Ovis aries: one gene and its partner. The protein of the gene in region 1 purifies or fractionates together with the protein of each later gene. This does not show direct contact. Links are inferred from orthologs where the notes say so. Each region holds a gene or a part of one and is shown in the gene's direction. Other genes may lie near its edges.

The links. The genes of interacting proteins can lie anywhere in the genome.
Region 2: the proteins of DNAJC11 (region 1) and IMMT purify together in Homo sapiens (co-immunoprecipitation; 3 studies listed by BioGRID and IntAct, with this or other methods). This does not show direct contact. The link is inferred for Ovis aries from reciprocal best matches to the Homo sapiens genes DNAJC11 and IMMT.

What each region holds. Positions count from the first base shown.
Region 1 is NC_056065.1:46,123,399-46,127,253, forward strand, and holds part of DNAJC11 (dnaJ homolog subfamily C member 11), read left to right. Parts: intron 1-1,639; coding exon 1,640-1,795; intron 1,796-2,208; exon of another isoform or gene 2,209-2,408; coding exon of another isoform or gene 2,409-2,878; coding exon 2,879-2,948; intron 2,949-3,440; coding exon 3,441-3,498; intron 3,499-3,627; coding exon 3,628-3,770; intron 3,771-3,855. Other genes in the region: THAP3 (THAP domain-containing protein 3), read right to left, coding at 2,409-2,918.
Region 2 is NC_056056.1:58,063,597-58,067,451, reverse strand, and holds part of IMMT (MICOS complex subunit MIC60), read left to right. Parts: intron 1-1,233; coding exon 1,234-1,369; intron 1,370-1,915; coding exon 1,916-2,045; intron 2,046-3,452; coding exon 3,453-3,467; intron 3,468-3,855. UniProt on the Homo sapiens protein: Component of the MICOS complex, a large protein complex of the mitochondrial inner membrane that plays crucial roles in the maintenance of crista junctions, inner membrane architecture, and formation of contact sites to the outer membrane.

The sequences.
Region 1 (3,855 bases):
TCTCCTGTCTGAGATGTTGCCTGGCTTTTCAAGTGCTCATTTGACATCCTTTCTTTTTTTTTTTTTTTTTTTCAGTGCAGTCTCTATCCGTATCTTTTGTCTGTTTCATTATTGGGTTGTTGGAGTTCTCCTTTTAGTGTTGAGCATTCTTCATTATTTCTGGAGCTGCTTTCGCTCCTGAAGGGTCTTGTCGCTGGGTACATGGTTCAGGGCTGATGGAGTTTTCTCGCAGTGCTCTCTCAGTGTTCTGCTCTCTTCTGGCTCCTCTGTTCCTGACAAGTCATTGGTCTTTTGAACCTTTATACTCTGATGTCTCTTTTGTTTATTTTCCCCCGGTTACTCAACTTTTTTTACTCTTGTTTCTCAGCACCTGAGTGTAGCTACACGTGATTTTGTTCTATGTCTGCTGCTTGGGGTTTGCTAAACTTCTTGCTTCTATAAATTGATGTATTTATTTATGTAGAATTATTTGCAACTTTTAGGCCATTAATTCGTTAAATGTTAAATATTTAATATACTTCTTCCCAGCTGCAGTGTTGCCCCAGACTCTGGGCTCTGATTCTTCGGTCCAGTAGGAGTGCATATTTCTTTGCAGTTTTAATCATCCTCTCCTCTCTGGGGCCGTAATTACTTCTGTGCTAAACCTCTGGTTTCTGAAGCTCTGCCCATTTGTCTTCAATCCTTTTTCTCTTTGTTCTTCACATTGGATCATTTCTACTAAATTCTCTTACTCTTCTCTCATCTCCAATCTGATGTTAAACCATCAGTGAATATGTTATGTCTTTGAGCAGAGTTTAAATAGTTGCTTTAAAATCCTTATCTGCTGGCTCCAGCATCTGAGATCGCTCTTCATTATCTTTTTCTCATTGTATCTGGGTATGTAGCATAGTTGGTATTGTATTAAGTGTTAATTTTTGTTTCCTTTTAGAAAGCTTCCTTTTAAAATTTGGGTGAAGTCTGGCTGCAAACTTGGGCTTACCCATGTAGCAACAGTCAAAACACAGCACCAGGCATCCTCTGGGGATCTCCGGCACACTGAGAACTTGGGGCTTCCCTTTGGGGGGCCCCCCCTCTTCCCAGACGCAATAGTTGCCCCAGACTCTGAACTCTAATTCTTCAGTAGGACTACAGATTTCTTTGCAGTTGTAATCATCCATTGTGGTATAGACTGAGAATTGCCTTCAGGCTAAAGGCTGTTTTTTTTAAAAAGTCCAGCAGCTCACCAGTGCCAGTTGGTGCTTCTGCCCTCGGTTGCTGTCTGGTCCCCGAGGGTGTGGGTCACATTGGTCAAGAGTTCACAGTTGATGTCTGTGGGGTGACCTGGCCAGTGGGAGCCACTCAGCCGTCACTGAGAGCTGACAGGATGTCTGGAGGAGTGGCCACCCCTGCCTCCCCGGGCCATGTTTGCTCTGCTTGGGTGAGAGTCTGCTGCTTGCAGTCAGCGGGTATCGAGCCCTTTCTTCTGCCAGACCTAGAGGCCCACTCGGGGGATGACCGTGAGGCGTGCAGACTGGGTTCCGCCTCCCCAGGTCCTGTGTGTCAAGAGGTTCTTTCCTGGGGCTGGGACACCAGCCCCGCACCCCGCAGCCTTCCCTGGGAACCTGACTCACGTGGGCACTCGGCTTTGCTCTATTCCCAGGTTAAATAGGGCCAGTCAGACCTACTTCTTCCCCGTCCACCTGACAGACCAGCTGCTGCCCAGTGCCGTGTTCTATGCCACCGTGGGGCCGCTCGTGGTGTACTTCGCCCTGCACCGCCTGGTCATCAGACCCTACCTCAGGGCTCAGAAGGAGAAGTGAGTTCTCAGCACTGGCGGGTACAGGGCCGAACCACCCTGTGCCCAGCTCCCCATCTGTGACGTGGAGAGGGTAGCAGCCACCCCACAGGGCTGTGAGGGAAACCACCTAAGCTATAGGTAGACAGTGCTCACTGCGGAGTCAGTCACATCAGGTCCTCAGTGAGCATTATAGTTGATATCAGTAGTAGTAGTACTACTGTTGGCGACACTTGGGTTAGCTCCCGTCTACCCACATTTCCTACTTTCAGAGAGAATTAGAGTTAGTTTACCAAACTGTTGGGACTGTAAGCCATGACCACAGAAATGAGAAGTCTTCCTTTTTCTCATTCTAACCATTTCTTTGCCTGGCATTGAATTCAAAGAGATCAGGCTCTGAGTTCCTACAAACAAGGCCCATGTTAACTACAGTCTTGGAAGTCATCTAGATGTAATTTATTTTGCAGTTTCTTAGAGATGATCCATTAGCACAGCATTAAACCTAAGAGGAGGTTTAACTTCATTACTTTACAATGATCTCATTTAATAGATCACTGAACTTAGTTGGGGAGAGAGGAGCCCAAGGAAGGCTCTTGGGGCGCCTCCAGCCTCTGATTCATTTAAATTCGGTGTCCTAATTCCCCAGCAGACTGAAGGCTTGGAGCAGAGGATGTGCTGGGCCAGGGCTGCCAGGACACGTGTGTGTTGCCCAGGTCCCCATGCTTTGCTGGGAGGAAAATACATGTATTTTATCACAAGGAAGTGTGCCTTGTCCCTGCCAAGGGTGTCCTGTGGTAATGCCTAGTTGGGGGCATCTCCTGAGATTCTCACCCTCTCCCCCTTTCCTGAGATTACTGCTGCGAGGAATCCTCCTCCCACTGAGGTCGGGGAGAGCCATCTGGGGACCACAGGACAGCGGCGCAGGCCTGGGGCAAACAGATTTGCTTGAACTTGCCTTGGAAATAGTATTTAAAGTTCTAGAACTGGGAACACAGTAAGATTTACAGGCTGTTTGCAGGGTGCAGGTCCAGCCTGGAGCACCGTGGCCTCCTGTGCTGGTAACCCCACGTTCCTCACACGTGGCTTGTGTTTTCCTCGCCTCAGGGAACTGGAGAAGCAACGGGAAAGCACAGCCACCGACATCCTGCAGAAGAAACAAGAGGCAGAAGCTGCCGTAAGTGCTGTGTCACCGGCTCCCTTCCAGGCCTCTGCCCTGTGAGGGTCTGAGCGTGGACCTGCCCATCGTGCAGAGCACAGGCCGTACCCATGTCCCATCCTTTCTCGTCCACATTTCTTAAACCGGGGCTGTGGGGGACATGCTTCACACCCTGCAGAGTGGTCTCGGGGGACTTGGGTCTTGGGCTTTTCTTCCCCAACAGCCTCCCTGGTCATCTAGTCTTTACGTTATTGCCTGTGGGATGCAGCGCTGGGAGCGTCTGTCTGTGCCCTGAAGAGTTGACCATTACCTTGCAAAGACATAACCAGGTTTTTTAAAAAGTGGTGGGTGTTGTCCTCTTTCTTCCTGTGATTGAATTGTTTTTCCAAGACTGCAATAGCAGCGATGTCCCGAGAAATGGACAAGCAGGACCGACAGGCACCAGGCACGTGGCCCTGACTCTGATGGAGCCTAGGGAGCCCTTGATAGTAGCGTCCTTGTCCCCTGCAGGTTCGGTTGATGCAGGAATCTGTCCGAAGAATAATCGAGGCCGAAGAGTCCAGAATGGGTGAGCAGGCCTGGCCTCTTTAAAGGACGGGGTGGGTGCTGGGTTCCCGCAGGAAACATGGCTCCTGCAGCCAGGCTGCACGGGGGTTGTCTGCCAAGGCTGCCCTGCCCTGACCAGGCCTGTCCTCAGGGCTCATCATCGTCAACGCCTGGTACGGGAAATTTGTCAATGACAAGAGCAAGAAGAGTGAGAAGGTGAAGGTGATCGACGTGACCGTGCCCCTGCAGTGTCTGGTGAAGGACTCCAAGCTCATCCTCACCGAGGCCTCTAAGGTGGGTGCTCGGGGTAGATGGGAGGGGCATCTGGGGAAGAGGGACCCTCCAAGGGGCCATGTCACTGCAGCGGAACCCATCATGC
Region 2 (3,855 bases), on another chromosome or scaffold:
TTTGACAAGTAATTAGGGCCTCCTGGTGGCTTTCTTTTGGCTCTGTTTTCTTTGTACTGTCTACATAGAAAGAGGAGGCAGAGAAACCCTTCCCTTCTCCACCTATACTGTATTTTGGTTTTAGGAACATGAAAATTTAAAAGGAAGAGAGAGAATAGAATATATAATCTGGCCAAAATAAATGTGGCAGAAACTTACTTAACAATTTTGTATTTTATTTGCAGTATTACTTAGGTGATATGTCTATGGTTTACAGAGATTCTGCCATTATTTCAAGGTTTTTCTGGGATGGGTTGAGCAGTTTTATAAGAATTTAAGGAGTGTGTCACACTCTCTTTGCCTTAACTACCAAAGTAGTTAGCATATAATAGGTCTAGTTTTATGCTACCTTGACCTTGATTCCTGAAAGTTGGCTAAAACTAGAATCAAGCAAGCAAACCAAATATGTTCAATCTCTGTCAATAGGAACCTGTATTTGAAAATGGGTTCTCATCAACATTATGGAACTGTTATTTGTCATTCAGAATTTTGTTGTCTTAACATAATATTTATAATTGATAGAGAAAGGGAAGCTTTCTGATAAAGCTAACATGTCTTTTAGGAGATTGACCGCATGATGTTCATCACATCAGTAGGTTATGATTCAGAGCTCTGAGTTCTGTGTTTGTGGTTTGTAGATTATAGTCTACCCAGCCTGAATCGAGAGGGCTCCAGAAGACCCAGCTCTATGCTCAGTGAGCTCTTTGATTTTCTCCCTTGCCTTTGTCTTCCTCAAGCTCTCATTGGCAAGGGAATCAATCTAATCCTTGCAAAAGCTACCATTTATTGAGTGCTCTCGATAGCACAGTAGCAGGTACTGTGCAAAACACTGCTCATGAATTACTTCTAATCCCTATGCCAGGGTGAGCAACAAAGGAGAGGCTGATCTGGGAGCTAAATCCAGGTCTACCGGGTTCTGAAGCCTATGTCTTTTCCTGTACACCATGCTACTCATCTGGTCCACTCTTTAAATCTAACTTGAGGTGCTAAAAAACTGAGGTGTTTTCAGTTGTTGGTGAGGAAAACTTCTCTGCCTATTGAGTGTGAAAAAGCATTGAGTAGTTGTTTCAAATTAAATGTTTCATAGACTTAATTGTAACTTGTTACAATTGTGGCTATAACTTGTATTGATTTCAGTTTTTTTAATAAAGTTGCCAAGGATTAATACTAAACCTTTGTTTTATTGGTTTCCAGAGAAGAGTTAGAGAAGATGAAGAGTGTAATTGAAAATGCAAAGAAAGAAGAGGTTGCTGGGGCCAAATCTCATATAACCGCTGCAGAGGGGAAGCTTCACAACATGATCGTTGATCTGGATAATGTGGTCCAAAAGGTGTGTTTTTCAGGTCTTTTATAAGTATTTTTTATTTTTTAATGTCGTTGTTTTGTCAAGGGGTTTTTAAGAATTCAGGAAAATATTAAGATTCCTTTCATCTTTCTCCCTTCCCCTGGAAAAGAATATTAGTTGTTACTAATTTTAGAAACTTGCTTTGGACATGAAGTGGATTGTTCAGTATTGTTGATACATTTTATAATAGGTAAGTGTTTGCTCATGGTCTTTACTACTTACGGAAATTTCCATTTTGTAGCATCTCTTTTGTCTGCACTTCTGATCTGTGTGGTCAGTTTTTCCGTGACCCAGAGAAAGAGGGCCAATGGCATAAGGAGATGGGAAAGGGTTTATCCATGGCATTTGAACAGAATTAGATGGAAACAAAGACAATATTTACATTCCTTTCTCTGACCTTTAGATTTCTTCCTATGTATTACTTATATATTCACAACCAAATGTAAATGAATACATGAATATGACATATTTTTTGGAGTGTTTATGGTATTTTTTGTTCACTTTAACCACATACCCCTTGTATTTGTTCAGGTTCAGGCAGCTCAATCTGAGGCTAAGGTCGTGTCTCAGTATCATGAGCTCGTGGTCCAAGCCCGGGACGACTTTAAACGAGAGCTGGACAGTATTACTCCAGAAGTCTTGCCCGGGTGGAAGGGGATGAGTAAGTGCAACTGAAGTGTTGGTATTTTACTTTTTCAGTTTTTTTTTTTTAAACAACTGATCATCTGATCTAAACTTGCCAGCTCCATTCTCTGGTCTAAACCCGTCTGGCATGCATATTTCATCTCTTGTGCAGTATAGTGTTTTCAGCATTTTATTTCAGTCATACCTGTGACAGGTGACACACCCGGTTTAGCAATGGTGAACGCAAATTCCAGCCAGTGTGGAATCTTAGTGAGTGAAGAGATATTTTAACCTTGACTTTATTTGCCTATTATATGTAAAATTATTGAACAGGTTTGGCACTTTAAAAATATTCATAATGAATTACTTAAGCATACCTTGTGGCTGCTCTGTGACAACCCTGATTGAGAACTCACCCCGGGACATTAGGTGAAAAGGGAAGGTCAGGCTGTGTGGCCTTCAGCTTGCAAATAGCTCAGATTGCAGGGAATTTGGTGGCAATTACACATTGTAACTGCAGGGAGTAGTCACATCTGCATGAAGCGCTGTGTGACTGAAATCACAGAGATCTGGAGTCTCAAGATCAAAATAGTACTTCCTAAATGCCACTGTCTTTTAGAAACTGAACGTCAGGTAGCATTTGAAGAACTAGTGATACAGGCCTCTCTCGGGTGAGGGTGTTGAAACTGCATCATAGAACCAAGGCTGGTCTAAGTAGCTCAGGGATTTTAAGTAGTGCAGGGATTTTAACAGCATTAGGGCCAACCAGAATGATTTAATGGCAAGAAGTAGAATCAAGGCTATCAAAAAATAACTCAGACATGAAGTTAGTTTTCTTTTTCTTGTGGTTGACTCACTTAAGAGGGAGATAGATAGCGGTTTCTCATCAAAGCAGAAAATAAAATCAGGATTTGTATGAAAGGATTAAGTGGAGAAATCCACAGAGTTTAGTCTGGCAATAGGTTGAGACAGAGCTATTTGCCTTGTCCATCTTTGCCTGTTCTTCCTGCAGCATTGGGTCAGCTCCCTGTTTCTTTGGTTGAGAACCAGATTAAGTGGTTGGTTTAATGGACTGTGACTTCCTGAAATAGCCTGCGAGCTGATGTGAAGTGGGGGAATAAACAAGAACTGTAGTTCCTGTGTGAAAATTTAGTTGATTGCTTCATGAAAAGAGATGAGTCCCCAGAAACCAAAACTACTTTCAGTGTCATTCACTCTCTGATTCTCTGAAATGTTAGAATTTACCTTGATTTATATTGTTTTATGATCCTTTAAAACTTTTTTAGGAAATACACTCATCATTTTGCTTTTCAGCACTAAAATGTGCTTTTTCTACCACTGGCTTCTGGTTCCTTCTTGTTGTATTTTGGATATTTCTATACAGTGATTAATAACTGATGCATGTACTTTCTTTTTCTCAAACCATTGTTCTTTTCCTTTGTAGGTATTTCTGACCTAGGTGAGTAGTTACATGCATTTTATGTTTAAAGACTTGTATTTTAAGTCTTAAAAAGGCTCAAGTCTTTATTTTGCCTGTGATTCTCATACTAAACTATCAAAATTAATATAAAGTAGAATTATGTTGCATGCCATAAATCTAATTTGGATATTTTTGTCATCCATATGTTCTCAGTAACAAAAATGTTTTTACCGTGTGATCGGAAACCTATAGATGTGATATATGTGAAGATATATATTTTAAGTTTTTATTTGGTAAAATTTCAAACATTAAAAAGTAAGAAGAAAATTGGAATGAACTCCTGTGGACCTGTCTCCCAACTTTGGCAGTTACCAACACCTGGCTGGTTTTGTCTCATTTATTCCCCCAGCTTATGTTGAAGCAAATC